Caenorhabditis elegans: one gene and its partner. The protein of the gene in region 1 interacts with the protein of each later gene in a pairwise test. Each region holds a gene or a part of one and is shown in the gene's direction. Other genes may lie near its edges.

Region 1 (17,014 bases):
ATATCAAATACATGGTAGAGACACAGAGAAGCATAGAAAGTGTTCCACCCGGCTAATGATGAAACACTTCTCTATCTCCTCCGTTCGACAATCAACCGTCTGCTTTTTTCTTTGGAAATCGAAAAATATTTTGACTTCATCTGTTAGTTTACCTAGGTAAAGGCAATTCCGACAATTTTGACGCTTTGTTTCAAAATGCAATTTATTTTGAATTTTGTATTCCCTCTATCAGTGTGCGGTCTATTTTAAAAGACTGTATCTCTCTTACTTCTGAAAATATAAAAAAGTTCGACTACAAAATAATAGAGTAACTTATAATGAAAATTTGAATGATATAAACTTTTTTATGCAACCAAAGGTATCCGAGATGTGATCTGTCAAAGTTCAAGTATTGCGGTGGCTGTATACGGTATGTCTGGGTTTCAATTGTTTCTAGTTTAATCAAATATGTTTAAACTGAAACCATATTAGATTATCTTGTTTTATTCCTCAAAAATTTAGTTCAGCTATTTATTATAATTTTCGGGCTTTCTAGGATTTTCAAACAGATGTTGTAGGGCCAGTGATAGTTAAGATAGTAAGTACACTTACAATAGGCATAAAAATAATATTTTGATCAAATTTAGATATCTACATTTCCGCCTTTTCCCAGATTTTATAGATTTATTTAATTTAAATCATGGTCAATCGGTAGTTTTCTGAGTTGAGCTGAACTCCCAACTCTCTCGGAGTTCAGTCAATAAAATGAAACATCTAAATTGTCTTCAAAAGAATACGATGTATTGAAAAGTTTCGAACAAGATACAATCATCAATAAAAGCCCGAAATCAATCATAAATTTGACGAAAAATCTGTCGTTAAAACAATATCATTCCATTTTTTTCAAGAATTCTTCTTCTATTTCTTTCTGCCACGAGCTTTACAATTTTGAGATTCTTTTTTTAAATATATTGTGGAATATATTTATTGAAAACTTAATGTGTTAGAATGCAAGTCTAGAAACAGAAAATAAATTCAATCAATAGAACATTTAAGATTATGAGGGTTATATTATTGTTACATTTAGAATATCTCTCATAGGTAGGTACCATGTTTCAGACGGGTGTGCCTAACTAATACCTACCTGCTACCCAAGTTTTTTATATTCAGGTGTTGGTTTAAGTACTGATCATTTCGAATAATTCATTGATAGTTCGTTCAAACGAGGAAAAAGGTTCATGTGTACTCTAGAATTAGGCTCACGAGTAGGCATGAGGCAGACTTAGGTCGCCTACGTTGCAGGCTAGTTTATTATATTTCCCCATCAAAATATTTCGTTGTTTCTCAATGTTTGCGCTATACCATTATGGATACTCTACAAAATTATTTTGAAACAAACATATTACATTATCACAGTAGTGTGCTTGTACATTTACAAACCAAAAATCTCTGAGTTATAAAAATAGCTAAATTAGAATATTAGACAGTAACTTTCCAGTCTAGAAATCAATTAGCCAATAAAAATTACACCTGAAAGCAGATATCAAAAATAATAAGACACAAGTAAATAATAATTTTAATAGTTTCCAAAAGATCTATTAAAAAGTTCAAAAAGTCCGTACTATTTTCGAAAAGTTGAATGCCTACGTGTTTCTTCAATTTCTTTTATTTTCTAAATGTTTTGACAATGAACCGTCTCTCAATCTATCCGTCAATCTTCAATGTGCAATACAGTACATGCCAACACACAACGTTTCGAAAACAAATCGTCACAGCCGAAAAAATTTCATTTTCGTATCATGTTTCGCATTTGTGCACATGTTCCCCGTTATTAAAATAATCTTTGTAGGATTTGGAAAACGAGGGAAAACGCTTACCGTAATCCACCGGGAGCATGTAATTTTGTGAAATGGGGTGGCGCGTAGCGCGGTGGTGTCACAAATGGTTTTGGGTAGATGTACCGCATTCGAAAATTATAGGGCTTCGCGTTTTGAGAGCTTTGTGTGTCCCGTTGTGATGATAGAGTAGGTCAAACGATGAAACGAGATGGGCGGCACAAAGTGCATTCTGCGTCTTATGGCGACGCCTACTCTATTACTAAAGTCGGACGGTGCCAGTCCATTAGAGCGGGAAGGACCATGCTCCACAGCAACACTTGCGCCCACTCGTCACTACGAACGCTTCTCATTCCAAAGTTTTTTTTTCGCGGAAGATCTTTGAGCATTCTGTGACGAAAAATATTTTGTGCGAGGTGCCAAAGGTGTCAAGTTTAGAAAATAACCAATTAAAGTAGATCTGAAAAAGTGAAACATTGTATTGTCCAGGTACAACTTTAAAAAGTTGTCCCTAACAACATATAAAGTATATTCCCTATTAGTATGGCCCTCCGCCAATCGACTTTTTCGGCTTATATTTCAGCGGTTTCAAAAGATTTTTGATTTTTTCAAATACCAGAGCATAACGATAGATTTGAAACAAATTTTGTCGTTTGAGTTATTGAAAAAAAAGTGATCAAAGACAACCGAGATATAAACGGTCAAAGTCGAGTGACGGGGGCCATACTGATAGGGAATATACGGTAACGCAAACGTTTATAGTTCAGTATTTTTGCCATATCTAGGTCTCGCAACGCTGCGAACGAGTTACTGTAGCTATTGTCCTTTTATGTGCATTATAATCTGTAAAATTAAATAAAAATAGGATTTAAGAATTTTTTTAATTTGTTGGGATAGCGTCAAAATTTTTGTTGTCAGTGTGGTGAGAACGCAATAGTTTTGTTACCTGGTTAATAAGTGGATATAATGCCACCTGAAGTTCCAGATTCCTGTCAGCACGAAGAACAGAAATTTATCACTTGGGCTGAGTTACGAGAAGAACAAGCCTATGTATTTCTATTTGTCTGGAAGATTTTATCTCTAGTTGTGTTTTATAGAATTTACAGGTGGATAAAGGATTATAATTTTTAAAAATTTAAACACAAAACCTCTCTGTCACAAACTCTAATTTATGTGAAAAATTTATGATTTTTGATATTATAGAAAATTGTTTCAAAAGTGAGAACTTTCATGAATCACCTGCGGTTCAAACTACTTTTTCAGGTAGTAAAATTTCTTTCAAGTACATTTTGCATATTTAAAATTCTATCCTCTTCAACTCTGTGTTCCTACATTTAATTTCCGATCTTGATTTAAAAAAGTACCTTGAATAAAATCTTGGAATTTTCAAATTCTTTAGCACGGATACCTAGTCCCCGTATCTATTTTATCCATCCACCGTATTCTTGAATTCATGAGCTTCTTCTTCTTCTGGAAATTGGGCGGAGTCGGAGTGGTCGATTCGAAGGGCGGTCTCTTGAATATGCATAACGTGTTTTCAAGCTCTCACCTCTTTTTCGGAGGAGGACCACCCGCCTCTCACTATTTTCTGATTTTTTATGCATTCGATACATATTTTTTTGGACACACCTATTCTCTCTTCATTGAAATATCGCTTTTCTTTACTTTTCAACTATATTTCATTTCCAGACTGGATTCAAGTTATACCACTCAACATGTCATCCATCTTCCCAAACTTACTACCATTCCAGCTTTTCGTGAGTCTTTTCCTTTTCGTGAGATTTTTCTTTGTACAAAAAAAGAAAATTGAATGACAGAAGAGGGTTCAATTAACGTGAGAATTGAAACGAGAAGGGGACCCCAAATGAGAAATGCACCTGTCCTAAATAGCTCCCCGCTCCCACCGTTTCCCATCTTCCTTTGTGTACATTTTCGGAAGAGTGAATCGAATCATTGAGGAAAGAAGGGACTAATTATTTTCAATAAAATCTGGGAAAATTGGAAAGCTATGTAACTATGAATACCTAATTATACAATTTAAACACTGTTGAAAGATGCATGAGAAATCGGGAGGAGGTACTAGATTTGGCATTTCCTGTAGTAAGGATTTTCTTATATATACATATATATCATAGCCTTTGATATATTTCCAGACTGTTTGTGAATTGATGGGGTCCGTCACCTAATATACTAGTCTAGATTTATCTGAAAAAAAATCTTAGGGTTACTGTAGTTGTTACCAGATTGTTTCTCCAGGCTCATGTAGAAGTGAAAAGTTGCCATATTTTGAGGGAAATCGATTGAGAAACAAAATAGCGTTTGATAGATTTTTGAAAACGGTCAAAAGATCTTCAAAGGTTTCTTAATGTGATTTCTTACTCATTTCTTACTCAGTTTTGCACGATGTATGCTCACCGAGTGTCATTTGTTCTTCTCGAATTTCATCTTCCTTTTAATTTTTCCCCTGACTTTTTGACGAGTTAACATGATTTTACCTCAAACTGAGATGAACCTACTAACAACAAGAGTTCAAAAAACTTGCACTTTTCAATTTCTGAATAACCCATCGATTTTCGAGTTATTGGGCCAGGTGTGAATTTTAAATATCATTGGAATATAGATTGCAACTCCGATTCCTTATTATAGAAGGGAAATTATAGCTCAGAATTTGGAAATGATTTTAATAAAATGAAGTAGACCCCAATCTCAGAATCCTTTTGGTCAGACTTGCTATTATTGAATGAACAATGTAAATCTTAAATCAGCTACTTCCTACCTGGTCTGATTCGATCACGTTTTTCAGAGTGATCTTTCAGTCTTCCTCAATCGTTTTCGTTTTAGATTTGTGGCGTTTCTGAAATTCGAATATTTCTGATCTCCATGCTTATCCTTCAGGCCGTTTAAATTTTCTGATGATCAAATATATTTCTGTCTGTTATTCCCGAAATAGATTTTCCGTTTTCTGACACTGAATACCTATGACCAAAAGTTTTCAAACGACAGATGGTCACTCTTCTTTTTTGAAATGCATAACTTTCTTGACTTTTGACTCTGTCACAATTTTACCTGCTCTTTTTCTTACACTCTCTTCCAACACATAATCGTTTCGATTTGGAAAGGCACACGGACTGCACGTAGAGTAAAAGAAAGAGAGAGAGAGAAACAAATACTCTTATCTCCGTTAGCTTCATCATCATCTCTATTTCTCTTTTCTACAATAGTTATGGTGTTCCTGTTTCCTGTTTCTTATGTAAAACTGTTAATTTCATAATTTTTGAAATTTCAAGTACTATGACTCGCTATCAAATATGAACAGTGCAACTGATAGGAGTTCCCTCTGACTTCGCTACCCTTCAACTTTTTTATTATTATTTTCATATGTTTTTACACACACATGCACACGTTTTTGTGATGGTGCGAACGATTGGAAACATTCAATTCTCCTCCTTTTCCCCCTGCCACACGACTTTTATGAGTCATTTGACAATCGAATGTCACTTCAAAGCAATAAGAAACAACAGAAAAGAAGGCACTAAGAGACATCTGATGCTTTTAACGTTTTCTAGAATTATTCGATTCTTCAAAAATTGAAGGATTGGCATAGTTGGCACTGAAATTTATGATGCTCTTGAGTCTTAAAAAACTTGAACTTCACTGTTTAATCAGCTACTTTGAACTCCTTTCAGTCATTTTTTAAGCTTGCGTAATAACAGCAACTCCTATGTTTTAGGTTGCACTTTTTTCTGGTATTACTGTAACTTAATACTTATCACATTTCTAATAATAAAAATTCACTCGAATTACCACAACTGTAAGCTGAATGTTTGTGACCCCCTTCTGTTCGCATTGAGGTGCGGTCCCGTTACTTAATTATAGCTCATCCACCTAACCACAGAATCTTCTTTACCTTGGCTCCTTTCAAGGTTTCTCGGCATCTGCTTGATCATGTAACCTACATTTTCATTCAACCTTCAAGCTTTTTTCTCGATGAAACAGGCAAATCACCTGTTCTCAAGAAGAGCCAACAAGTGTTCCTCTCTTTTGTAAAAGTCGTCCAACCCAGGCAGTCAGTCAGCAACAAATGAAATGAACAAAACGGGTTTCGAGACTACGGGAAGGAAGAAGAAACTGTGGGTGACTATGTCTAAGTCTCTTGATCGGTTGCCACTCTTTCTCAAAGGCTGACACGCTCCCGGGGACAGGCAAATGTGTGAGAGAGGTAGATGCAGAGAGTGTTTCACAAAACATACACAATCGTCGTCTTCTTTTCTCGGGGAGGTCTTGACTTTAGACACTATTTTCCTCCGCTCACTCTTTAACCTACCAACAGTTCCCAAAATGAGACAACATGCCCTTGGCTCCGCTCCGAGAGCACACTGTTGCCTTTTCTAGTGAAGTGAACTTGCGCCATCCTGCAGCAGCTTTCCGTTGATGGCCAACTTGAGCACCGCCAATCTAGATCATTTTGTTCCAACATCCATTCTATCTTTTCAATTTATTTTCTGAAAATCTAAAAGCATATCAGTTTTTATCAATTACCTCGGGCCTAAATAATTTTTTCAAAGTTTAAGCTAACACATCTAAATGTAAATGCGCTACAACTTAATTATTTGTAAAAACTCCGGATCTCCTCGCTCACTCCAGAATGTAAAAAAAAGAAAAATTGAAAGTGTGTAGGTATACCATACGCATGCATTACTCTTGAATTTTTCGAAGTATATGATTTAGCATTATGCCAAGAAAGATTGGCTATGGTAGACTGACTGCTTCCAATTTTCAAGCTGAAAGCTTTTCTAAACCTTATTTCTCCAACATATAATTTCTAATTTTTATTATGATTTTGTTTCAAACCTCACATTTATATTTTTAGTTTGAACTTACAACATCTACACCAATTGTTTTAACCCTAAAATCTATATTTTCCCAGACGGAAATAATGTTTAACCTAGAGAAGTGTGCACATGATTGACACGAACATGACTTTTTTACTGTCTTTTTCTTACGTTTCTCCCGTTTTCTTCTCTCCGTCTCTTTCCATTTTCTTATCACTACCATAATTTTGAAAATCCATTTTATCAAACGTGCTCCATTGAATATGAAGGATATGTATGACGTCATCACTTAATATTAGTCACCACTTGATTCTTGACGTCTTCGTCTTATTCTTCTAATGGCATGATGATAGGAAATGGTTTGAAGTACTTCTACTTCTACCTTATTACCAAATTGGATTAGTTACAGTATGAATGGTTTATGTTATCTTGTGTTTTCCTCCTTTACACTTTCAATTAATATGTTTGTTGTTTTCGCTAGAGTATTTTTTGTCTGAAAAAAAAAACAAATGGAGCATCAGCAAAAAGTGAGAAAATAATAGAGTTCGCATCTCGAGACGACAAGACGTCATTTCTTTGACGTGGATTGATTTGAAAATTAGAGAACTAGTGATAAGAGAGAAAGAAGCATCCGACCGCGTGATGACCTGAATTGATGAGAGATAATGGAAAGGTGTCGACGATTGATGAGTCTGGATTTAAATTCTGATCTTTTGTCAATTTAATATTTATTGATAAATTAGCTAGTCTGAAAAAGTGAAGTAAATGTATTTTACTTTACAAAATTTTTTTGCAGTTGTTCCATAACTTGAAAAAATTGATAGGGTTGTATGTATTGCACCAGTAAAAATATATATTTGCAGCAGACTTTTTTGCGGACTGCATAATTTGATAATTTATTTCAGAGCAGAATTAACATAATTATGAGCATGTTGGTTTTCTCTAAAGTAGTCTAGATTTCGGTTTTGGTGAAGAGGTGAAATTGAGTGGAGAAATTGTAAACATCAATTTGGGAATTTACCAAAACTCTTTACCGCGACAAAAAATTCAGAATTTGAATATACCTCCATGGAAGCGATTATATTGTGCAATTATAATTGTGTAATATATCCTCTTTACCTTCTTCATGCTTATCCCCAATTTCCTCCCTCTCTCTTCTCACCTCATTCCGTTGATTAAAGAACCAATTGAACGCCCGCAGGCTTCGTTGTGGGTAATACAGTAATGTGATAGATTGTATGCCTGCCTATGCACATACACAAGTATGTGCTCTACCATTGCATATTCTGAGCTCTCCTCATTTTATACACTCTTCACAAATATCCACTCCATTAGAAAACCATCTGTCCGTTTGTGTCCCCAACCGGGAGCGCGAGGGGTGGATTGACCGTAGAAGGGACTGCCATCTGCATTTCTTCACTTCCCCCCTTTTCTCCAGCATACCATTCCATTATTTCCTCGATTCGTGCCCCGTCTCTATTCTTCTTCGATTTTACCGGTAATTCCTTGTTGTACATATTTGTAGAATGCATTATATACTTTTCCAGACTACCGTATTCCCTCGCGTACCCAGTTCTTATTTCAAAGATTATGAACTCAATGTTTTGTTCAGAGTTGCAACAAGCGCTGCCGCAGGTGATATATTTTAACCTGTTTTCATTCAAATATTCTGATGAAAAGCACGATGTCTTAGTCAGCCGATTCTAGAAGTTTTTATATTCCACGTTGCAGTTTACCTATAGAACGTGACAATATGTCACATGAACAAACTGGTTCTATTGATTTGATAGGAAGTTTGATTTTTTTTTTGAAATAAGGTTTTAGTTGCAAAAACAACTTAAAGTGAAATTTGTATGTATTTAGAAAATAAAAACTTGAAAAATATGTAAATATTTTCTTTGTTTTTGTCAGCACTTAACTGAAAAAAAACCACAAACCGTAAATGAGGTGTCCCATTTGTCCTTGTTCAGATAACTAACCATACTCCTCCAATTACCAATTTATCCGAATTAGCGCCCCACACACTCCTCCACATCCACACTATCTTTCGCTTTTGATTACTTTTTTCGGTAATATCTGTCAAGGTGGCTGGGTTCGTCGTCGTAGTCCTGTACTGTTTCGTCGAGAAGGTCACCATATTGGGGGAAGAAGTAAGAGACTGTCTTTTGGCGCAATATCACTGTTGTGTAGATCGCCTAGTTTCTTGTCTCGAATAACATGAAATGATAGACAGAGTTCCCTATGACACTCTAAGTCTCGAGGTTCTTATCACTTTATCGATTAGTTGAACAGCTGGCTGTCTCCTATCATCATATATCCACCTTGTTTTCTTTCCGCCTTCATGACTCTTTTCTTCCTGAAGCATCCCTTCAAACAATTCTCTATTTTCTCTGTATCCAATGACTCAATATTCTCAAATCTCAACCTAATTTGAATAACTGACAACAGTAAAAAGACCTCCGAATGCAAAAGCAGGAGTAATTAACCTAGGAAGAAGCAACCAGGGATAGTCAATCAAAATGAGATGACATAGATCTCGAGTTGACATGTTTTTTGAACCAATCTCGGAATATTTGCATAATTAGTAGTAGTATTCCCATAAGAGCAGATTTGTAAATATTATAATAAGTTGCTTGCAGATGGTTGGTAGTAAATTTTATTTTACTGCAAGTGAATATTTATTTCCAAATGTGTTAATATTTTTTTAGTTAAAAAATTTTATACATATTTTTGAGAAAGTTGTTTTCGAAGTTTTGATACTGTTTTATTGCAAATAAAAGTCGGAATTGCTCCAAATTTTTAAACAAAACTTTAGTATTTTAAAAAATTTAGAAAAATACCACATGTTTGCTCTTCTACAATATTGAAATACATAATTAAATCATATAATTTGTAGTAAAAATTAATTATTTTTCGGCCGACTTACAAAATTGTGGATTGCAAAAATAGAGAAATCGCCACTTGTTTAAAACGGAGTTTTTAATTAATGTACATTATGTTGATTGATGAGGTTTCAGTGAAATTTTTAAATTAAAAAAAAACACTGATTAATTACTTTACCTATTATGAAATAGAAAACAATATAAAAATGTCAAAGCTCATAATGCACCAAATAATTTTACCAACCTAGACTACCTGCCCAAAATACAGTTTGCCCTCAATTCTTTTTAGGATAATCTCTTTTAGAAGTTAAGTCTACAACATGATTATAACGACTTCACGGTACTGATCACTCTCTTTTCTCTGAATCCATACTTCCAACCCGCCGTTCCTTCTTCATCATTTTCCATTCGTTTTCCTCCGTCTCTTTTATCTTTTTCTCATCTCTTTTCGTTTGTCGATCTGGACGATCCGATGCGTCATCCTTAACGCTTCTCTTATTTCTTTTCTTCATCTCCTTCTTGAAAGTGTCTATCATTTTTTTTCTACTTTATTTCCTGATTCCATCATATCTCCTATGTGTTCATTAAGTATCACTAATTATTCCATTAGTCCCTTTCCCACCTGCCATCCATCTTCGAGGTTTTCCTTGTTTAGTCTGGTTTATTTGTTTAACAAAAAAAAAGCGTGTTGGAAAAATGCGAAACCGTCTGCGTTCGCTAGTTTGAAAAATTTTAACAGAAACTTCCAATGTTGAGTTGGATTTAACAAGTTAGATCTCAAAAATATTTTTCAAAAAATCTAGAAAATTCGGCTTGAAAAAATTGCTTTAAAATCCGGAATAAATGGAAAAATTCCGCCATAATTGTTTTCATCGACAAAGATTGATTTATGGAAATTCAAAATTTGAAAAAATATTTTTTAAACTGTTTTCAAAAGATAACTGAGTAACAATTCTGAAAAATCTTACAAAATTGGTTGCCATGACAACAACCTCTACAAAAAACAAATGACCTCAGCTTCTACATTTCTTCTGCATATTCCAATTATTTATTTTATTTCACATTTGACATGACCGTCTGAAATGAAACAATGAAGACGTTGGTCTTTTCTTTTCTCTTTCTTTTCCCACCCTGAAAACCACGAACATACATTTTTCAGTTCAGACGTTTTTTCTGCAATTGCATTAAGCATTGATGATGATTCAGCATTCACAATCATCGATTTTTCCTCCTTGTTGATTTGATTTTGTCCGTTTTTTTCTGCTCCCACAGAAAAAAAACGCACAACAGTTACCTGTCTTCTTATCAATTTCCTTTTACGTGCCTATTCCTCTTCTCTACCTATCACATGACCAAACTTTCAGTACCCCGGACATAAATGCCACGTCACACTTTAGACATTATCACATTTTTCTCATCTTTTAAGCAAAAGCTCTCAATCTCTAAGGTCTATGCTCTTCAGTTAGAGATCGTAATTTTAGATACCGAACACGGGGTGAAAACCGAAAAACTAAACTCTTTTAGCTCAAGATTTTTTCCATATCTTCTCTTGCCTGCCATTCACTTTTTTGATGGATTACGGTAGATTTCGTTCAACTTTTTTGCATTTCAGATGTCGGAAGACGTAGCAGTCACGGCGCAAACAATTCTCAATGGGTAAGTTGAATTTTGTTGGGCAGGGCGGAGTCAGAAGGTGTCAGAATATGAATAGATGAATAGAACTAAAGTGTCCCATCATTGCAGAACCCCGCCCCATAATCATTTTCGAAAAGAGTGGCTCGCTGGAGCAGCAGGAACGACAACGCCCACGACGACCTCTGGCGGACAAATGATGACGGTTTGTGATAAAACAATTTTTTTTTCGAGTTCTTCCCATTGAGATTTTATTGACTTAAAATCTTTTGATGAAAAAAAAGTTTATCACAATTTTTAAAAGCTAGAAATTTATGCCATTAAAATATGATTTAAAAAAAAATCATAAGTGAAAACTAGAGAACAGTGATTGATTTTGCAAAATATCTGAAATACTTTTCAAAACAAAAACTATTTCAAATCTTATATTTTAGAATTGGAATATACATACAGTATTTCATCTAATTGTCTTGCACCTCATTGCTCAAGTTTGAAGCCTTTTAGCGTTCTTTGAGCTCAAGTTTCAACCCCTTCTGATACCAGCTTCAAATTCCCAATCAGACACTTCTTTATCCTAAAACATGGATTTCAGCTCTCCCCTCCCGCCGGTGACGGACCAGGTTCCGCTGGCTCAATGGCTCCCGAATCGACTTCTTCCCTTTCCGACTTGTCTGGTGACGCGGAAGGTGTGTGGAGTATAGACATTGATCAAGCATTTCAAGAAGCGTTAGCCATCTATCCACCTTGTGGACGAAGGAAAATTATCATCAGTGACGAAGGGAAAATGTATGGTGAGTGAACTGTCTATACATAATTGGAGTCATACAAGTGGTAGAAGAATGAATACATTCACATTACTGTGCATCTGCCTTCATTGAACATCTGCCCATATCCATGGGATAGAAACTTCTTTTCCATTTGACTTTTCTTTCTAATATTTATTATTATTATGATGTAAACGGATTGAACCGGCAGACAGAAACCGACAAAAGAAGAGAGTAGAAGGTACTACGGGATTAGTAGAGACCATCTTTCCATCCTTTCCGTGCCACTTCTCCATATTCCTTGTATTTGTTTATTTTCGCTGCGGGAAACCACGGGCGGCTCTTTCTCTCTCTAAGTCTTGACTTTTTGACCCTCCCGCGCAACCAAAATCAACAAATCGTTAGATTAGATGTTGGAACATAGTTTGTTAGGAAAATGTGATTAGGGGGTTACCGAAGTATCCCAAAGTATCACGTTTTCAGCTGTCGGTTAAAGTATTTAAAATTTAAAATTGAAATTAGATTTCAAATTTTATTTTAAAATAGAAAAACCTCTGGAAATTTTAAAATAAAAACTAAAATTATCAGAATTATAAATATTGAGGAATATCAGAAACGTAGCGTGTCTGTAACTGCTCTCGCTGGACTTTGTGCTCTGCCACGTCATAAAACACGAATACTGTCTGCGCAGTGCCCGGCAGTAACAAACAAAAAGAGTTTGCACATTTGTTTGATTTTCAAAAAAAAAGAAACCTTTTTCCACAATGATGACAACTAAAAGTTACACAGACGCTGTTTTGAGACTACTGTAGAACAGCAATTTTGTTAGACTTCTTAACAATGCCCGTTACTACGGTTATCAGTTTGATCCGCTTTTATTTCGTAAAAATTACCGGAAAACATAATGTTATCAGAGAAAATTCCATAGTCTTTACTCACTTAATTTATGTGATAAATTTGGGTGGGGTGATAATTGATACGCAAATATAATTAAGAGGGTTCAAGTTTTCAATACAGTATTTTTTAAAAATAATCTTGATCTCCCTATTAGTCTAGCCAATTAAATAATAGTCCTATAGAAAAATACAGAATTTAATCTTAAATTTTAACAATTTCCACTTTGATTCGTGAAATCTTTTTTTAACATAGAATCTTTCAAGTCGACGTCACCCTTATTTTAGTTATTCCATCGTCAGACCTGAATTTTTCACCTGTTCGTTACCTGATTATTTCTTCCTCCTCCCACATTCTGATTTCATTATGAGCAACATTCATTTACTTGTTTGAATTTTATATGTATATATATTTTCAGGAAGGAACGAACTAATCGCTAGGTATATCAAATTGCGATGTGGAAAAACGAGGACTCGGAAACAAGTGTCATCACATATTCAAGTACTTGCTAGGAAAAAGCTCAGAGACGAACAAGCAAAAAAGAAGGTACCTTTTCATCTGAATACGGTAGTTTAATTTACTATATGTCTAACTGAAATTCATATTGAAAACTTTTCAGGGTGATATTCCCAGTCTTCTTCAACAAGCTTCACCTCCAGGAGGAGTTAAATCTCCATCAGCTGTAGTATTTCCGCCTGTTTCCGCAGCTGTCGCTGCAATCACTGAAATTTCTCCACAAAGTAGCTACTCATCAATTGTGCCAAAAGTGGAAACCGATCAAATCTCCCAACAACTATTTAAATGTTAGTTTTTTATGCGATACAATTATTGCATCAAACTAATTTTCTCATGTTTCCAGCTCTTCCTTTGTGGTCATTCCAACAAACTCCTGGATTACCTATCGGAATGGATCTATCACAACTTGTTTTCCAACAATCCTCTCCCGACAAAACAGTTTCACCTGTGAAATCAGAAGTTGTAGAAGAAACGAAACCAATCGCTTCTTCACAATTAACACTTCACAGCTTCTCCGCATATGTCAAATGTAATAAGACAAGTTTAAGGACAGAACTCGTGAAGATTGAGAATACACTGGAAAAAGATGATATTGACATTTCTGTATTTTACGAAAAATATCCGAAATTACTTCGAGAATTGTTCGAGAAATCCGAGAAAAAGGATGTCTTCTTCCTTGCAAAGTGTTGGGCAAATATTAATGTTTCGGATGATGTACAGTAAGTTATATTGAATGTGATTGATAATTAGTTTTGACTCAAAGAAAACCTTTTAGAAACTGTCAATACGCAGTCGACTCGTTCTACTCAAGTCGTGAAAAATTCCAATTAAAGGTCTCAACAATGGCTTGCTCATTTGGAAACCAGGCAGTTGAAAAAATAGAGGTACGAATATTATGAGCTAAGCGGCAATGTACAATCGGTTGATTTTTCAGCAATACTTCCCAATCGAATTCGATGGATCATATTCGTTCATATTGAACAACTCCCCAATGTGTGACTATATGGTTAAGTTCATTGCCGAGCTGAAGAAGCTGAATGTAATAGAAACAATGAACAACGTGCTGGAGAATTTTACAGTTTTACAGGTAAGAATATTTGAAAATATTTAACCTATTCAGAGAGTTTGTCAGCGGCCATTTCTCCACCTCTAAAAATTCACAAAAACTTAAATCAAAGTTGAAAAATAGCTCTAGAAAATTTTGAAAAGTTTCATTTGTTTCATTAGAATTGAATAAATAATATGCACATTAATGAATAATATACTTTTTAAGTCGCTTTCAAAAATGTTCTCCGACTGAAAGCTTAAAATTCTGAACAATGTTTGAACAGTGTTATAATTTTTTAATTAGTTTTCTAACACATTCTGGGGTTTTAAAGAAAAGGAATACGGGGTTCTAATTTAACAAAAAAAAACTGAGGAAAAACTGGAAAGTACACATAATGAAAAGCATAATAATTTTCAGATTGTCACAAACAGCGAAACTGATGAATTATTAATGGTTCTCTGTTTTGTATTTGAAGTATCACAAGAACCAGAGCCATCATGTTCTGTCTACAGGCTAATCGATGGAGGAGGCGATTCTGATGAATGAATTTTGAAAAATCTCTTCCCACACTGCCATATTTTTTGTTTTTTTCTTAATTTATACACTCATTCATTCCTTTTCTTCGTTTTCTCCTTCTCTTCAAAAATCGGTCACACGAATTCATTTGAATTTCATTTGAAAAATAATAATAATATGTTCCAGTCATTCCCATTTTCTTATTTTCTCCATGTTTACCTGAATACTCAAAACCCAATTTCCCGTGATTTATTTTTGTACTTTTTTTCGTCTCATCATGTGCAACCAGAAGAAAACTCGTCGAGCTTCTCATATTTCTTGGAAATTCACAGAATCCATCAAAAAGTCTACAGTGTCTAGTACGAGTTGTTCTTTAATTTCTAATCCCTCACATTCATCCCCACACTTCTCCCTTTCAGATTCAGTTCCCCCCAATACTTGCAACCTCTTCTCCACACCTTCCACAAAATCTCAATTCTCGATTTTTTCAACCCAAGTTTCCGATTTGATTCAGTTCTGTTAGGCTCTTAGGTGTGTTTTGTTTCATTTTCTGTATTCTATTTTTGGACTTGTTTTCCCTTTAATTATCAGTTATTGAAAAAATGCATCAGATACCTAAACTTTTCAATTTTTTTAAAAACGTTTTGGGAGCAACTGGATTTTCAGAAAGAAACGTTTCATCAAAGCAACAGAAGACCCCGACAAAACGAAAGGCGGAGCTGCGATATTATAAACAATGGCACTGTACCGCGCGAGGTCATTCCAAATCTCAATCACTTTCCATAGAATGTCTGCTCCATCTCCTTCACCTTCTATTTCAAGATTAAATTCAAATTCAGATGAAACTTTCCGTATTGTGGTAAACTATCTGGTAACTTCGAACAAACTTGAGGAAACACGTGTCAAGTACACCAGAATTATTGATTCTCTAGTCCTGCAAATGGACTGCCTGAACTTGATTGCCACTTTGACAAAGACAAATCTTGTCGTCTTGCTAGTGATCAAGTATATTCTTAAATATTTAGAGAATTTGAAGAAGAATACCATTATCTCGCTGAGAAATGTCGAGGCTAAAATCGAAAAAAAGATGAAAATTCAGAAAAGACGAGCTCAAATGATGTTCCAACATGTAAGTTTCGGTAGACCCTTTTATTTTTGAAATGTTTGATTATTTAAACTTTAGAACGGCATCACTCCAATGAGTGACATTACTAAAAGATTGGAATTCAATAAGAACAATTGAAAATCAATCAGGACAACCTTTTGTGCCTTGGAGGGCCTAATCGTTCATTTCTCTGTTATCGCATACTTTAATGTTTCTTCGATTTGTTAATTTCTAAAATTATTGTTTTAACTTTTGAAATATATACATAGTAATGATTTGTTATACGGCTCTATCTTTTTTTGTTTGTTACTTATATTCCATTTTTATTCAAAGTTCAATGAACACATTTTATTTGGGATTTGACAAAAGCATTTTCAAATTTGTGAACCACCCGGTTGCCATGGCAGAAAAACAGAAGCAAAGCTTAAGGTTTTGAATATATAAATATAAATATTCATATTTTCTATTTCATCTTTTCTATTTCGATATGCGTCAGATCGTCTTTTGAACATTTCCGCAATTTGTTTATAACATATGACCTTTCCGTTACCGTAATTTTACGGTTAGCCAGCTGCTGAATGAATTGTAAAAACTGATTTCCGTTGATTTGGTGTGGTGGACAAATTTTTTTTTCAATAAACAGTTTCACCAAAAAATATGTTGGAAGAATGTGAATCAGAGCTGTGTGACAAATCTTTTCGGCAAAAGTGCAGAACTGCTGATTTCAAGATTATAATCCAACTTGTTGAATCAGAAAATTAAACTAAATTGAATGAATACATTTTCTCGTCTATGTTATGCAATTCATTTTAGATGAGAAGTTCAAAAAAAGCCTCAAGTGGTGCCCGAAAATGGCCTTTTGCCGTTAAAATTTTTTCGGCAAACGGCAACTTTCAGACACTATATGAGGTTTTCTAAAAAAAAATAAAACAAAAATAAATACTATTATTATATCTTGAAAAATTGGCATACATTTTCATATTAATTCTTAATTCAAAAAGTTGGTTGTTC
Region 2 (17,014 bases), on another chromosome or scaffold:
AAATTTCTAGAACTCTCGTCCGATGGGTTGTTCTAATTGTAACAGCTCTCGTATCTGGTCTCTGCTTCCTTGAACCAAATCTCAATGCAATCGCTTTGATGCTGTTTTCCATTCCAGCTGCTGTAGTGATAAACTATGAAGGAAAACAGTAAGATTTCAAATTTGACTGTTTGAATGAAAATAAAAATTTTCAGGTCTGGAATCCCAGACATCGAGTCATTTCCAAGTCGAATTCTTGCACTTTGGGGAGTTGCATTTTCCTTCTGGTTTGCTGATCGTCTTCTCTGCGATTTTTGGCTTTATTTGGGTGAGTGATTGGTATACTGAATTTTTTGAAAAAAACTGAGGTACTTCACATTTAATAAGACCAAATTTCAAATATCTAGTGATAAGTTGTTTCAAATATTGGGCAGTATCTACTGTTAGTTTCAAATGCTAGTTGAATAATATAAATCTTTCTTTTCCAATAAAAAACGTTAAATTTGTTCGATTTTGAGAACTATTTCGCATTGTTTTACCTAGAAAAGTTTTGCTCCAGTGAACTTAGCTTCAACAAACTTTTTTCAAAACTTCGGTTAAAGGTTCGCAAGATAACCTTTGTAATGATCGGGCAAAGATAGTAAAATTAAATATACAGTTTTTCAAAACCAATTTTGCAATTCAGTGTTAGGTAAGTTTTTGCAATTGATGTTTCCAGGAACCCCATACCTCCATGCTCTGTTCCATTTGCTCGCCGGACTTGCCGGCTACACAATTTTCATCATGTTCTCGATGATTGATATTGAGAGCAGAACGAAAACTCACAAATACACAGCCGCAGTCCGTTATTTTCCGGGCAAGAACGGCTCGATCTTCTCGTTCCCGTACATTTCGCTCAAAGAACGTTCTCAGTGAGTATATATGGCATATCCCTCTGTTAGAATTCCATCAAACTAACGGAGGGAAAATTGTATTTGTAACGCATTCTACACAGGAAGAAAAATGCATGCCTGTGTACCTACAAGAGTGCCTGGTAGGCATTATTGAGCCTGCGTAGAAGCCTTAGTCTATGCCCTTTTAGTTTTATCCATGTACTGTCCAGTTTTTGTTTTGTGTCGTTTGTGCAATGTATTTGTGAACGTGAATCTGTGTTGATAAATGGTTTTTTGTGATATATTTTTTAAAATATACTGTTTCTAAAATCTTTAAAATTTTTCAGCAAAGTAGCAGTGCCAGTTTTTGATACAAATGGAAACTCAACAACTGTCACGGATGATATCCCAACTTGATAGTTTTTTATTAGATAATAGTTAAAAATTCATTTTATAATGTTTTATAATTTTTTTCCCAATGTTTTTACAAAAGCTCTTTAGCTTTAATTCCTCACATTTCGTTTCCATTTCTCATTTCTTCCCGTTGTCTGTCTATAGAGTTTTTTTGACCAGTTGTTTTTCTCCAAATTGCCATAAATAAGTCAACAAGTGTTTTGTTTTATAGAGAGTATCTAGATCAAACCATGAAACTTATAACTAATTGCATGGGAAGATTCAGAGATTCAGAGAAGGTGAGAAATAGAATAAGATCTTGTTTTCCTCAAGTCCAAGCAATCCAAAACTTGTTCAGTCAATCCTATTCAACGAATCCTTCATTTCACATCTATATTTGCTTTCGATTCATACCGTCATGCCGTGTCCATGTGGTCAGTTTTTATGCCTAAATACTTGTATTATATTAGGAGTTTATCTATGACAGACCAGGTGTTTTTAGTTAGTTTAAAAATTTGTTTTTTAAACTTAAAATTGAAATATTCAAATTAAAATAGTAAGGAAAAGTGAGAAAATTGTGAAATTGTAACAATAAATTCAGTGATAATAGAGATTCTTTCAATTTTTTAATTCTACAAAATTTCACAAACAAAAGCCTCGAATTTATTGAATTTGTATAGGGCACTTCAGTTTGTCAGGTACGTCTTCAGGCGAACATGCCTGTCTTCCCACATATTTTTAAATTTTAATTGGAACAGTGTAAAATCTTACAGTTTTCAGTTTCTCATAGGTAAGTTGCTCTGAAAAACATTCAGAAACAAATGTTGTGCCTCAGCAATGATTTTGAATAATTTCATAATCTAAAAATATAGAGTCAAGTAAAAAAAAACATGAAAATGAAAAATAATTCAAACCTTAAAATAACAAAGAAATATTTCAAATCCAGCAATCTTTCTAAATTACTATTTTGTAATTTTTTCATGAAAATATAAAACGAAAATTATAATTTCTTGGCAAATGCTCTTTTACTACCTCATCTTTTACTACGTTGCTCTTTTACTACGGTTTACTCTTTTACTACGGCCGTATTTTTTACTACGTTTTCCAATTTCGATCTTTTACTACAATTTGTATCTTTTACTACGGCCGTATTTTTTACTACGTTTTCCAATTTCGATCTTTTGCTACAGTTTGTATCTTTTACTACGATTAACGATTTTTTACGGCCTAATGAAAAAAAAAAGAATATCAAAAGTTGGAATTTGAAAGTTACCTTGTAGCAGATTTCAGGTATAATTACAATTTCATTCTGAAATCAACATGAAAGTTTCATAGTTGTGTTCTTTTTCCAACTTTTGAAATATACTACTGTCTGAGCGGTTTTTAACTGAATCCGACGATATCATAACGGGAAAATGAAATTTATGAAAATTTTCCAAACAAAACTATTTTGAAACTTTATTAAGCACTAATCAGTTATTGTAGAAAAATTCTAAACCTGTTGTTTTTGAAAACATTCATGTCAACTTTGTAATTTGGCATAATATTAAGAAACTCGGCAAGTAGGGCTCTATATACTCACATATCTTTTCGGGCAGAGGGAATGTGAAAAATTGATCAATCGCAAACTTGTAAGCTTAAGATAAGGAACACTTTTCCCGTGCAAACTATTTGAAAAAAAAATCTGAATGGATCCAGATTCGAACCAGCAATGACTCTACTGAAGAGCGCGCGCTTTACCACTTCTCCAAACAGGCGAGTGGCGGCCGCGGTTCCAAGGTATATGTGAAACCAACCGAGCTGTACGAAGTAGGAAGCTTCCATTACTTTTTCAGATATTTAGTTCTGAAAACTTTGTTAACTCTCCTTATCAACAACTAAATGGCCCTTTTTGTAGTTATTTCTACTGGAAAAAAATGTGCCTGTAAATAATATCCTGTTTATAAACGTTGTTGTCCAGTGAAAACATTCCCTTGACCTGAAATTTATCGATAAAAGATAAATTTATCTTGAAAACTACTTTTTCGAGTGTATTTTTAAACATTCTACAAATTCCACTTAATAGCAGGTCGGGAACTTCGGCGATTCCTCGAATAAGCTATTTTCAAAAAAAAAATTAGGCCCAAAATTTGTTTCTGAAAAACGACCCCAATCTTGTATTTTCCAGTAATAAATACAATCTGAATTTTTTTCGAAATTATTTTTCGCATCGAAATTGGAAAACGTAGTAAAAAATACGGCCGTAGTAAAAGAGTAAACCGTAGTAAAAGAGCAACGTAGTAAAAGATGAGGTAGTAAAAGAGCATTTGCCTAATTTCTTTTATTTTTCACATTATATGTCCAGTTAAAAAAAAAGAACTCTGAGAAATAAATTTTGAAAATCAGGTAAAAAAAGTTAGATGTTTCAGACGTCACCTTGTTGTTAATATGGTCTCTCATATGATTGGTGACATCAGAATTTTTAACTTGGAATTGAACATTTTAATTCTTGATTTATTATTTTCAAGATTTAATTTTAAGTTTTAAAAATAGATTTTTTTTTCAAAAAAAAAACAAGGTTGTAAAAATTGTTAAAACTGGAAACATCTTTTAGCTATTTTTATTTTAGCCTGCAAGAATTGCTCCTGTGGAGAAACGTGTAAGTGTACCGTCGAAAAATGTTGCTGCGAGGAAGAGAAAAAATCGTGCTGTGAAGGAAAAACCGAGAAGACTGAGCAAAAGAAATAACCAATGAGCAAGTGAACTTTTCCCACGTCTACTACTAAATTATTGTCGATCTATAATTCTTTCGCTTATCAATCTTGTCAATTGAAATAAAACAATATTTTTCTAATTCTTTTTGGAACGAACACACGTGTTTAAATGAATGTTGTGCTAAAAACGTCACATCAATGGTACGTGAATGTTGCAAACACCTTGTCAATAACTGATAAAATCAGAAACTAGAGCTGTGACTGAATCGTATACTAGAACGGAGTCTCTCTAAAAACGTTCTAAAAACAAACAAAAAATTGTGCAAAGGATTAGAGTGCTCAAGATCAATGAGCAAACTCACAATCAACTATCTGTTATTGTTTTGGGTCTCTTCTATATCTCTATTCTTTTAGTATCATAAGTTTGTACATTGTGACAGGGCCACCCTCTTTTATCACATATTTGAAGTGGTAAACAGCCAGCAAAAACCAAATAAAAAGGCAGTGAGAAAAAGAAGAAGGCAGCTCAATTTGACTGCTGAAATTAAGAAATCATGGCTTGCAAGTGTGGTGAGTTAATCTATACTTTATAGATTTCAAAAACAATTGTGACACGTTTAAAATGGTTTTGAGAATAGCAGGCAAATCAACAAGCTTTCTAAATTTTTCTTAAAGTCAAAACTTTTCCAGACTGCAAAAACAAGCAATGCAAGTGCGGAGACAAATGTGAATGCAGTGGAGACAAGTGTTGTGAGAAGTACTGCTGTGAGGAGGCCAGTGAGAAAAAATGCTGTCCAGCTGGATGTAAGGGAGACTGCAAGTGTGCAAACTGTCATTGTGCAGAGCAGAAGCAGTGCGGAGACAAGACCCATCAACACCAGGGAACTGCTGCGGCTCATTAAAATGTTTCAGAGTTGAATCTGAAAATACCACAATTCCTACTAAACTGTGAACATCCTACTAAATTGTAATTACCTCCGAGATTTATGTAAACTAATAAATGTGTATATTACTTGTATCTGCCAAATCAAAAAATTATAATTTAATTGAATCAGGATAAATGCATGTGATGAAAGTTTATGCTTTCAGACAACTTTCTTATAAATAAATACATTTCGTTAAAGATTACGAGCAACTTCTTTAAAGGCAAAATTTTCAAAGTTAAAAAAACTGCCTCAGGTTGTGCCTACGTTTAACCGAAGTTTTATCCAACTCTTGCCAAACTCTTACTCAAGATTAAACTGACATAATAAAGGTTTTGGTCAGATTTGTGATGAGATTTGGCGAAATCCTTAAAGTATTACTAAACTTTTGCCAAATTTAAATACAAGATGATTATTGGGCAAGATCTGACAGTCCTATAAGTATTAGGTATAACTTTCAGTGAATCAAGTTCTAATTATGCAAGATTATTCATTGTATTATTATATTATAAATTCATATATTAGAATTATCAACAATAGACAGTTTTTTTATAAGATAAAAAGAACCTAGCGAAAAATTCGAAAAAGAGCACGATAAGTTTCGAAAAAAACACAGCACAAATCTTTTTTTTTGATAAATGGTTGAAAAGTCTGAGTTCCGTTTTTTCAAAGAAAATTAAAATGTTTAAAAAAATGTTCGTTTTTAAGAGCTTTTAAAAGTTGTTTTACAGTTTTCCGGTCCCCAATTATTCCGTCAATTCATAGTTGGACAATCGCTTGAAACGACGAACATCGAAATATATTCAATTGGGTTAACCCCGACTATGAAACCCTGTAAAAATAAAAAAACCAACAGAAACATATTGATGATTCATAATTGAACAACTTTTAAAAATCATAATGTCCGATTGTCATAAAAATGCTGAATTGCCTGTTCAAAAACCGCATTGAATGTTTGATTTCAAATTGTTTATTTAGAAAGAAAAATCAAAAAGTACAGACTGTTAAAATAACAGAACATCACCAAAAACAATGATAGAAAAGGAAGAGTTTTGTATCAACGGAACAAACAGATTAGTGTCGCTCACGACACTGGTCACTCATCGTTTTTCTGACCTTTCCGTTCCAGAAGACCTTCATTTTTCGATTCTGATTTGTAATCCCAGTTCGCCAAACTTTATGATCTACGACGCCGTGATTTTTTCGCGCAGTAGTTATCATTGATTTGTGATTGGGTCGATTGGGGACTTGTTCTTTACAAATTGTCATGTAATCAAAAAAATGAATGATAGAAGGGTAGGTGGAGACAAAGAATATGCGAGACAGGTCAAAAAATTATTAGATCTTTTGTGTTGACTTGACTCGTAATTTTAAAAGACTTGTCAACTTTAACTTGAATTCTAAAAGCTAAATTTGTTTTAACACTTTTCGGCTTTAGATAGTACCTTTTCATGACAATGTATTTTACCAACTATAATATTTTGAATACCACCTCCCTGATATTTTAATAAATTTAAATTTGAGTTACATCAACTGATGACAAAATTTCAAAGATTGAGTCTTATCCAATGTTTCCATTTTCACTACTTTATTGGTGGCATTTTTATTGAAGCATTTATATATTTTTAACCATATTATTGAACACGGATTAGCCAATCTAACTAAATTGATTTTTTCCGGATTTCTGACCATCCGATTCCTATTTTTGTGTTATGTATTATACGATGGTTTTTTTCAAACAATTTCATAAGTTTTCTTTTTCAAAAAACATCGAAATTTGAAAACTATGAACGCTCAAAAACCGGAAGTCCGGTTTGCCACCCATATATCCAACAAATATATTTTTTCTGTTTTCAATAATGTTTAAAACTCACTTTAAAGTCATTGACATATATTTCAGTAATCATTGCTCACATATAAGTTCGGCTGGCTGAATATTTTATGTTCGTTACACCAAATTGATCAAAAAAATATTAAAACTTCTCACCAACAAAACAGTTAATCTAACTGTGATCCAATCCAATAAACACGTCTCGTTCTTCAGTAGAGGGATCACACAGTTTCAAACATTCACCTCGTAATACTCAAAACGTTCACTTTTGATGACAATTGCCACCGAATTTTTTTTTGGCTTTTTGAACTTTTAAATGAAGTCTGAAAATGTTCACTTTCAAACCGAAATTTTCAAGATTAAAAATATAAACGTAATTTCCAATTTCCCCATTTCCGTTTCCATATTCAAATCTCTACGTCATTTTGTGTTCTAACTTTGTTTCACTGGTTCTAGTCAATGGTGCACTTCCAATTAGTGAACATCTCATTATCAGTAGACAAAAAAACATCATTAGATTTTTGAGTCTCTTCTTAAAAATCGTTTTCTGTCTATTTATCTTTGCTTGGTTAGTCCCCTTCTTTCTGTTCAATATGAGTTCTTCTTATTTCTAATTTTGTCGTTTTTAAATTTCATATGATAAATTTTCCTTTAACATCCTATTTGCAAGAAGTTGTAATTGTTTTTACTCAACTAAACAAAATATTCCAAATACAGTAAGTTTTTTAAGATAAATAATAAACTAATCAGCTAAAAATTGGCTTCAAAATATTCCAAAATACGCCGAATATTCTCGATTTGTCTTCCTATAAAGTAACTGTATATAAAATCTCCACAAGTGACAGTGCACTTGTATTTTTCATTCTCAAAATTATTTTTAAATTCTCTATTTTTTGGAAAAATATTTGACAAATGTATTATACCTGTGTCTCAAGAAAAGCCCAAAGAACAACAATTAGATCTTTTTGAACTTTTCCTCCTCTTTTTTCCATGTTTAGTCTCCATGTGTTCTTTTTCTCTCCCACATTTCTCACCTAACCTGACTCATCTCTCCACCCCTTTTTCTACATATTTTGCATTTGATGACTATTTTTTCGATACATATAAACGATTCGATCCATTCATTTTATATCAATTCAGTGCAACAATGAGCATAATCTCAAACAAGTACAGAGTTCTTGTTGTATTTATTGGATTTTTATGCCTGGTTTCCGTTTGCTCCAATTATGTGGTTATGAACTTTACATTTATTTGCATGAAAAATGATATGAGCTTTACAAGAGATGATCGGGGAAATGAGGTGAGTATTTTGTTAGCGATTAAATTTTTGAAAAAGTTGAAAGCTTCCAGACCTCCCCAGTCAGTTTATTCGATTACACGCCCAACGAGAAAAAATACATAATGTGGGCTGTTGCTGCGGGTACAATTATTGGAACTTTTCCGGTAAACTACGTGTTTGTCCGGTTTGGAGGAAGGTAAATCTATTGGAAATTGCATACCGTAACAATAGTTTGGAATACATAAATTTCGTTAGGTTGTTGGGTGAAAAAGTATGAAAGAATTTCCTAGATTTTTTCCCATTAAATAATTTAGGGCAAAGTAGGCTCCAAAATAAAGTTCTTTATGCTTTAGAAAAAAAAATAAGATTAAGCATTATTTTTTTATGTTCTTTAGGTGGACATTCTTCTTAGCTGGAGTCATCTCGGTCATCGCTACAACATTGATCCCACTGGCCGCGCAGACGTCGTTTCACGCACTTCTTGCCGCGCGGTTTTGTCAGGTTTGTGTTGTTTTCTTGTGAATCACTTTTGATGATATGATAAGCTTTGTGACCTCCAATCTTTGCAGGGACTTGCATTTGCGGCAGACTTTGCGGCGATTGGCTTGTTAACTGTCAGATGGGCCCCACTATCTGAAACTGCAATTTTTCTTGGTGCACTTACTTCGTTTACCAATTTCTCATCGGTTTTAACAAATGCAGTGTCTGGAGCGGTAATTCTCAATAACTTAAGAGTTTGTTCAAGTTTATAATATGTTCAGATATGTGAAGGATTTGGTTGGAGGACCGCTTTCTACGCACATGCCGTAATGGGATCAGTTTTCTTCATACTTTGGGCTATTGTGTACAATGATGATCCAGAAAAGAAAGTTTCCGCTGATGAGCTGAGGAAAATTCGAAAAAACAAGTCGGAACAGCATTTGAAAACTAAAAATGTTGAAGTACCGTACAGGGTTAGTTTTCAAAATAAAATGAGCTCAAAAAACCCAAAAACGCTTCTGTAAATTCGAAACCGGAAATAATTTGAAAATTTTCACTTACTTCTATTATATAACGACATAAATCTAGAATATTTAAAATACATTAGTTGTTTTTATCATAAAATAAACCATTCGATTCCAGAAACTTCTTACATCTCCAATTGTTCTTTGCGTTTGGTTGAATGCGTTCGCCGAAATGTCGATCATTGTATTCTTGCACACCTACGCACCAATATTCTTCAATCGAATTTTAAAGTTCAGTGTCGCTCAAACTGGATTCCTTCTTGCACTTTCAGTATTCATTCCACTTCCATTAAAACTTGTTGGTGGAATTATCAGTGACAAGGCGAAGTAAGTTATTCGAACTTTGAGGTCATGCATCACAAATCTGTTTTCTTGCCAGATGTTTCTCGGAACGCGGAAAAATGTTGTTCTTCAATACGATTTCAGTAGGACTCGTTGGTGTCTTGCTAGGATGTCTTGGGTTCATTCCTCAATCGTTGCACTATGTTTCAGTTGTTCTTTTTTCCGTGATCTTTTCATGTTTATGTCTGAACGTGGCAGGATTCTACAAATGTGCGACATTACACACTAGGTACCGCCAAACTTTGAAACTGGAATAATTTATTTTTCACAGACAATTCGCTCACGTCGTTATTTCTACAATTCAATGGATGAAATCAGTGGCGCTAATCACTGGACCAGCTCTAGTTGCAGCTATTGTAAAAAATGAAGAAAGTGTTGGTCAGTGGAGAACAGTTTTGTGCATTCTTGGAGGTATTATGTTTGTGGTGAGTTTCAGCAATAAATATTTTGAAAATAATGACATTCAAAAAAAGTTGACAATAGTTCGTTTTTTTAATTCAAATTAATGGCATGGTTCGGTAACAATTGAAAAATTTCTGCAAAAGGGTTTGTATCATATTGCAAAAATTTTCCGAAGGTCCTTATTCAAAGCAAAATTTTAGAAGAAGTAAGTAGCTAGCGTAGTTTGAGTAGCCAGTAACCAGTAGCCAGTGGAGAAATTTATGAAAGCCACTCCCGTGGTGCCAAAATGACCAAATATCATAGTAAAACATATTTTTTGAAAATTTTATTTTGTTCAAAAAGTGGTAATTTATTACTCAGTTTTTGCCACTTTTTCGGAATATTGAAAACATTTTAAATGCAAAACTTTCACCTTTCAATGTCATCTTTGTAGGATAAAACACTATCTTTCAGGCAAACATCCTTGCTCTTTGTGTGTTTACTGACAAACCAGCGGAATATACAATGGCAGATGCTAATGAAAAAACTGTCAAATATGAGGTGAACGCTGAGGAGCCTTGATGATTTTTGCCAGAAATGTTACGCTCAATTTCATTTTGTTTTACTTCTATTGATCGCAAGTTGTCCCATTTCTACATTTATTCTTTAATCTGTCATCTCATTGTTGTCCTATTTCAGAGTCAATTTTCAGACTCAAACCATCCTGAATTTCACTTAATTCCCAACTGATTACGTGTATCTACTGCCCGTTTGTTCCCTACTGCATTCCAATTTTTGCAATGAACACATTATTGGTTCGAGCACATCTCTCTTGATGCATAAACGTGTCCATCTGCCCGTTCGGCCACTAAAACATCTGCTTTTCGACTCCTAGTGCCTTTCGTACCCGCTCAATTCACCATACCATGACATTTGCATGTCTTCTCTTCTCTTTTCATTTTACTCCCCCCTCTCATTTGGACATTCGGACACACTACCACAAACTGTCCCTCTCTATTGAAATGCGGCAAGCACAGGAAACACGGTCGTAAAAAAGCATAGACGCTCTGCGAAAGCTATGAACACATACATATCTTCGAGTCATTTGAACGTTCATGGTGCTTTCGCAAATTATATAGAAATTTATGGGTTATGGGAAAGGAGTACTTGTAAAATAGTGAAGAATTATCTTAAACAAGACACAAAAACTAGAAATAAGGAGCATGTTTAAAGTGTTAAAAATCAGCTTGGGGAACAATTTTCGACAGTCATATACACTAGATACTGATAGTAGGATAACTTTCATTATATTTTCAGAGTCATCCGAAATGCGATCTCGGGGATCTGCAAAAAAATCTTGGCCGTCTTGGTTGCATTCAGATTTATATAAATTTATTAATAAACAATTTTTCTCAACTTGATGTTATCATTACTCTGAAAATTGTGCAATGAGCTGGAAGAATTGGGAAAGCTGAAACAAAAAAATCTTAAAATTTTCATCATTTGTTGTCTGAAACTGTTGCGGTTTCCAAGTCGAACTTTTCAAACCACACAACTTCCTATAAAGTACCCAAAAGTCGTCACCCTATAGTACTTTCAAACTTACAAATTTCAGTTACCCTTACATGAAATGTGATATTTTTATCCATTCCCAAATGAGCTCAACACCGGAAGTTTTGTCATTATACAATGTCTGACCCAGTTTGTCCGGTCATTCATCCACGTATTACGAACACCTGTCCTCCATTGCTCCAATGTGTATCAGTCTCGTGTGTTTGACCCATAACACGTCCACTTATCCTTAGCCCACTTAATTACCTCACCATAATACCAATGCATGGCACCAATGAATTGGATTGTAATTACACGAGAGAGGCATTTAGTTTCGCGCACTGTTCGGCCGGCCGGAGCAGGTGGCGTCTTCCAATGACCCGGTCACACTTATCCTTTCCAGATGTTTTCCTTCCGTTTTTGGTCACCCCTTCAGTCTTCTCACTATTGAAATCCGCCTTCGGAACGTTCGCCTCTCGGATTTGGCATTAAATGGCAGCTCAGTTCACGCCAGATGCAAGATGAAATGAAAAGTGCGCGAGACGTCGGTCGGACATAGTTCTTTAATCCGAACTAATTGGTTGATGGTATCTATCTACACCTTGTGAAAGGGTACTTTATTAGATTTGAGAATTATGAAATTTGTGTCTTCAATGAACAAAAGATTCAGGAATACACGGGGAAGCCGATTTTGGTGTGAATTCGATGGGAGGTTGAATGGTAACAAGATTAAGATTTGAAGAACATTGTTTGCAAAATGCGTGATTCAAGATTTGAAATTTGAATATTTCCTTTACTGTGATTTTTGAAATTTCGACAAGACCGAAAAAAAATGTAAAGGTGTACTGTAGTGTCATTATAGCTCAATATAGAATCTAGGTCATTTTGAGGTGAGAATCTCAATCTGAAACCCAGGAGTGTAAAACTTCATTATCTGTTTTCCCAAACGCTGAGTTTACAATCAAACTCACCGCCCTTATTGGTAAATTTCTACCGTTCCCGAGCTAATTTAAAATCACCGAACGTATTCCCTTGTTCAATTCAATACTATAAAATTCAATCCCAACAGAAGGTAGTGGTGATGTTTACCAGACAGGTTGTTGGGGGCGACATGTAACAATATTATAAGCTAGAACATGTCACCCATATATCTCGGTGCCAATTTTGTCATCTATTATTCATTGTTTGTCTCCCCGGGTACGCATGTATGTGTGTCAGCAGGTCCCTCTCTACCCAAAAGCTCTTCAATGCACAAACACACCTCTATTCCAGAGGATTTTTGATTGACACTTCATTTCGGTGCTCTCGGTGCTCTCAAATGCATTTAAAATCGGGAAATCGTGTTGCAGATTGTTGTTTACTTCTTTACTCACTTTATCTTCTAACACGCTTTGATCCCCATGGGTTTACCGTAATTGGATGGATGAAAAGATTGACCCGGACAAGCCGGGACAGGAGCATCTGCTCCCACCTCGGATAACCCTCACTTTTCGCAGTCCTAATTGGCATGTTACAAATTCTCGAACAGGTGTCGATTTCCGTGAGGAGGCGGAAGATGAACGATGATGGGTACCAGGACCCATCGATTTGTTATTTTTGTGACGACAGACCCAACGACAGATGCAAGTAGTACAGTATATGCAAATCGAAATGATACGGCTGTTTGCCAAGGGCACGTACAGATGGTCTGCCTGCTGCATGGGCACAACATCTAGACTGATTGATTATCTTTTAGGTATTCACGAACATGCGACTAATTGGGCCATAAGCATGCAGCTGACAGACGGTAGATGAATTAATGTTGCGGACTTTTAGGTAATAAATTACTGATAAATATACCCTCAGCTTGAGATAAATTATTTTGGATATAGGGCTAGCTCTTGCAACTTTGTATATTCTCACAATAATATTCCAAATGTGGCCAAAATTGAGGTCTCTAGGTAGTACATTTATCGTCGTACAGTTTGATTTTCTGTACAGATTAAAAATTTAACCACGATTCAAACTCAAACTATTTCGTATGCTTCTGCTCAATGCTAAGATAACTGATTATGGCATTCACAACACAATGCACATATTCCCTCACTTCAGTCTTTGCTCAAATTCAACTTTGCGAGGCACCCATCAAAAAACCTGTTCATCAAAGAGTCCCATCATCTCGCCAAACGTTTCCATAGCAACAAATCGGAACACTAAACGCGCGCCTGGCACGGTCACTGTCGGTGTCATCAACCCATGGCACTGCGTTCCTTTTTTAATGCACTGCTCACTTTTTAATTTATGCTCATCTTCTCTTCCGTGAGCACTTCTAAACGCGGCTCGTCCCAAGAGACACCAGGAGACACCTGCCCGTGTTGCTACCAAATATGGAAAAGTGATTGACTTGGAAGAGGAGATGTGCTACAAGTGGTAAACAATTTGGGCGATTGAAAGTATAAAAGAAAGAGGAGGTGGAATAAACGTCCGCTAATTGACGCCTTCTTATTACGCGTGGAATTATACAACTGTTCGTAACACATATTGTTCGCCAATTAGGCGAGTACACCTGGTTTACAGGCAAAATAAGATTTATGGGAGCAAGGATAATTGTAGATCATAAAAATACATACCGTTATAAAATTACTGATATTTGTATCAAATATATTTGTACAGACTTATAGACTCTTTAGATTCTTTCCAGTGATTCTCTGAATTTAAAATATTATTTTTGCGGCAGTGGGGAAATTGTTAAAAACCACTCTTATGGTGCCAAAATTAGCAGATATTATAGTGCAACTTTTCAATTTTTTTTTGTTGTTTTTTTCACTTTTTGGAAGTCGTCGATCAAAAACAATTATACCTTCGAATTTTATAGTTTACTTATGTTTAAAATTAATATTTATCAAGCACTGAGAGGAATTCGAACATGCGGCATTGCTATAGTTTTCTCGAAAAGTGGCAAAAACTTAGTAATTGCCACTTTTCAAATGCCAATAAAAATTTCATTGATAAAATCTCAATCCAAAGAATTTCTGTGGAAGGAAAAATTCAACAGTGAACACAAATAAAATTTCACAATAGGTTACGAAATGCCCAATTTCAAGCTATTGAGAATTCATCAGTTGTTTTACTGAGATTTTCCCTTTTTCTTCTATCCCTCAAAAGTTACACAACTCAAAAATCGAATTTCTAGATTTCGTCACTCATCTATCAAATTTACCCATTGACAATCTTTATTTTTGACGAAAAAAACATTGAAATTTCCAATTTCACAAAATCTCGACCCAATTTCCATGTTAATTGCTCACTCGCTCCCCTTCTTGTAAGGTGTCTTCGGGGCGGAGACTCGGGAGCAGCAGCTGCCAGCCTTGTGCCTTCTCCCATATAAAAGGAGGTTAGTGTGTACGTGCCACGGTCAATTGAGGACACCAGACGGTCAGAGTCAGACACCTTTTCTTTTTTCGTTCACATCTACCGTAACCCATATCTTTTTTCGATCCATTTTATATCGTTTTGATTTCAGAAGGCCATGGTGCCTATGAATGACTTTTGGGTCAAAGCAATATTATCATCGACGAATCCGAGTCCAGTGCCGTCTACAACATCTACCGTATCCAATGATGAAAATTTGGATAAAACGTTGGACTTTGACTGTTCCACGCAAACAGTGTTCCCTACACTTCCAATGTTCTGGAACCCAACGCTAGTTCAACAGATGCTTGCGCTCTACCAGATCCAGCAGCAGCAAATTCAGTTCAGCGCGAAGCTGGCACCTCAACCGGTTAGTGATAGGTGTGTCTTATCTAGACATTGATACCTTTTTTCTTAATTGAAAGATCAAAAATTTATACCAACTTCTACCTGTTCTACTGATGACTATAGGGGAATGTGATTTTCACTGCAAATAAGGCGATCATAGTATTCATAATAAGTTCTCCAGATCACTTGACACTATTATGTTCTTGAGGTATCTAAAAATGTGTTCTAAAAAATTGTTTTCAGCTTTTCCAAGAACCGACCATCCAAAAAGAGTTTCTCCCATTCCCCCATCAATCTCGAAAACGTCCTCTACCGATAGACCCGAAAAAGACAAAGCTTCGAAAACTGAATGAAGACACTGTGACCAGTTCTCCAGTCAGCGGTATGTTCATAAAGGTGAGTAAAGCTATCGGCTCTTTCTAAGCTTCTCCTTCTTTCCTCTATGAGCAAAAACAATTCGGCACCGATTGTCTTAATTAGACGTGATTAGCATATGAGAGCTTTTGAAAACGAAGGCACATAAGAGGTGCCGGAAAGCGGTGCGGCGCAGAAAAAAGAAGGAGCAAAAGCTTGGGTTAATTACCACCCGCTGACCAGCGACCGTCTGCCACTTTTGTCTTGCGGCATTCTCTGACAACCGTCTCAGATTGAGCGCTCGCTTGATTTATTGCTAATGACACCGAGAAAACGAACGGATAATAATATTTTTGTTGCAGGAGGAGGCGGATGTGAAATCTGTGGAGGAGCTCCAAAAAGAAGCTGATTTGCTCGATGAGACAGCAGCATATGTAGAGGTTGGTTAGATTTGTTTAATTGAGATTCAACAATTACCGGATTCAAATTAACAAATTCCAAGCATATTGTTTTCATTCCAGGTCACCGAGGAGTCAAGACAAAAGATTGACGAGATTCCAAATGTCATTGGAGACTGTATCTGCCGGCTGTGCAAGGTGAAATACGAGGACGTGTTCAAGCTGGCACAACACAAATGTCCAAGAATTGCTCACGAGGAATACAAATGTCCGGATTGTGACAAGGTTTGTTGATTCTTTGGATTATTGCTTCTGATCAGAAGTTCTAGATAACAGGAAGCAAATTTACTTCAGACTACAAAACTTTCAAGAATTCTGATAGATTAGTCATAGAACCCAAAAACGAAAGGTTGAATACTATAGTACTCCTATACTCATTACTCCCACCTGTCAAGCTCATCTATATCACTTACTTGACTACCCTTGTATCGTCATAAGAGTCAGCAAACCATCTTAATCCCTCTCGCCACTTGACAAAACAGTAATCCAGTGCTCTTCACGAGTCGGGTTCCCTTGGCTTTTTCTATTTATCGACACCCCCTGCTGCGAGCCGGCTTCTTTCAGTACCAACCAGCTGGTCCATGATTCTCAGCTTTCTCTCTCCCTCTATCTGTTCTTTACAAACAAACACACAATTTGCTCCATTTTTGCAGGTGTTCTCATGTCCGGCCAATTTGGCATCACATCGTCGTTGGCACAAACCCCGTAATGAGCTCGGTGGCTCTCCACCCGCACAATCCTCAACAATTGTCTCCTGCTCCACCTGCTTCAACTCATTTCCAACAAAGAAGATGCTCAAGCTGCACTCGTCGACGTGTCAAAGATCGCCTCTTCAGGATTTGCTCTCAAGAGTTATTCCAACAATGTAATCACACTTTTCGACTACCTAACTCTTTACAATTTCCCCCGGTCAACCAACTATCCACTGTATATCTCCCGAGTTGACCTCATTTCTTTATCCTTTTTTGGCTTTCCAAATGATCTCCCATTTTATATACCTAATAGTCTATTTTTCTGATCTTGTCACTGATCTCCTTTTCCAAATTGCTGAGTGAATTCTAGTCATGCCATAAGATTTTTTTTGCGTCATTTCGCAGTATTATTTTGAATATCCGCAGTTCAAGCATTTATCAAGTACTTCACATACATTCCAGAGCGTCGCCTCACTGTATTTTTTTTTGCTGAAAGTGAATCTAGTCAATTTTCACCTTTTCAT

What was found.
Region 2: the proteins of egl-44 (region 1) and egl-46 interact in a two-hybrid assay, tested with the Caenorhabditis elegans proteins (2 studies listed by BioGRID).

What each region holds. Positions count from the first base shown.
Region 1 is NC_003280.10:5,925,301-5,942,314, forward strand, and holds egl-44 (TEA domain-containing protein), read left to right. Parts: upstream 1-8,236; coding exon 8,237-8,281; intron 8,282-11,140; coding exon 11,141-11,184; intron 11,185-11,271; coding exon 11,272-11,365; intron 11,366-11,616; exon of another isoform or gene 11,617-11,637; intron 11,638-11,746; exon of another isoform or gene 11,747-11,752; coding exon 11,753-11,951; intron 11,952-13,236; coding exon 13,237-13,385; intron 13,386-13,437; coding exon 13,438-13,621; intron 13,622-13,677; coding exon 13,678-14,053; intron 14,054-14,109; coding exon 14,110-14,218; intron 14,219-14,268; coding exon 14,269-14,421; intron 14,422-14,799; coding exon 14,800-14,928; downstream 14,929-17,014. Other genes in the region: F28B12.6 (uncharacterized protein), read left to right, coding at 15,635-16,027, 16,082-16,141. UniProt on the Caenorhabditis elegans protein: Transcription factor. Binds to DNA sequence motif 5'-CATNNNNAAATGCAT-3' as a heterodimer with egl-46.
Region 2 is NC_003283.11:6,679,310-6,696,323, reverse strand, and holds the start of egl-46 (Transcription factor egl-46), read left to right. Parts: upstream 1-14,750; 5' UTR 14,751-14,756; coding exon 14,757-15,008; intron 15,009-15,229; coding exon 15,230-15,382; intron 15,383-15,429; exon of another isoform or gene 15,430-15,638; intron 15,639-15,702; coding exon 15,703-15,780; intron 15,781-15,861; coding exon 15,862-16,023; intron 16,024-16,451; coding exon 16,452-16,667; 3' UTR 16,668-17,014. Other genes in the region: W02F12.2 (Alkaline ceramidase), read left to right, coding at 11-148, 195-307, 698-894; W02F12.8 (Metallothionein), read left to right, coding at 1,663-1,678, 3,853-3,971; mtl-1 (Metallothionein-1), read left to right, coding at 4,492-4,507, 4,628-4,839; K11G9.5 (Major facilitator superfamily (MFS) profile domain-containing protein), read left to right, coding at 7,839-7,991, 8,042-8,166, 8,366-8,471, 8,540-8,683, 8,732-8,923, 9,093-9,301, 9,354-9,545, 9,588-9,741 and 1 more. UniProt on the Caenorhabditis elegans protein: Transcription factor. Represses expression of genes involved in differentiation of touch receptor neurons (TRN), probably acting as a heterodimer with egl-44, perhaps by occupying similar cis-regulatory elements as an unc-86/mec-3 heterodimer.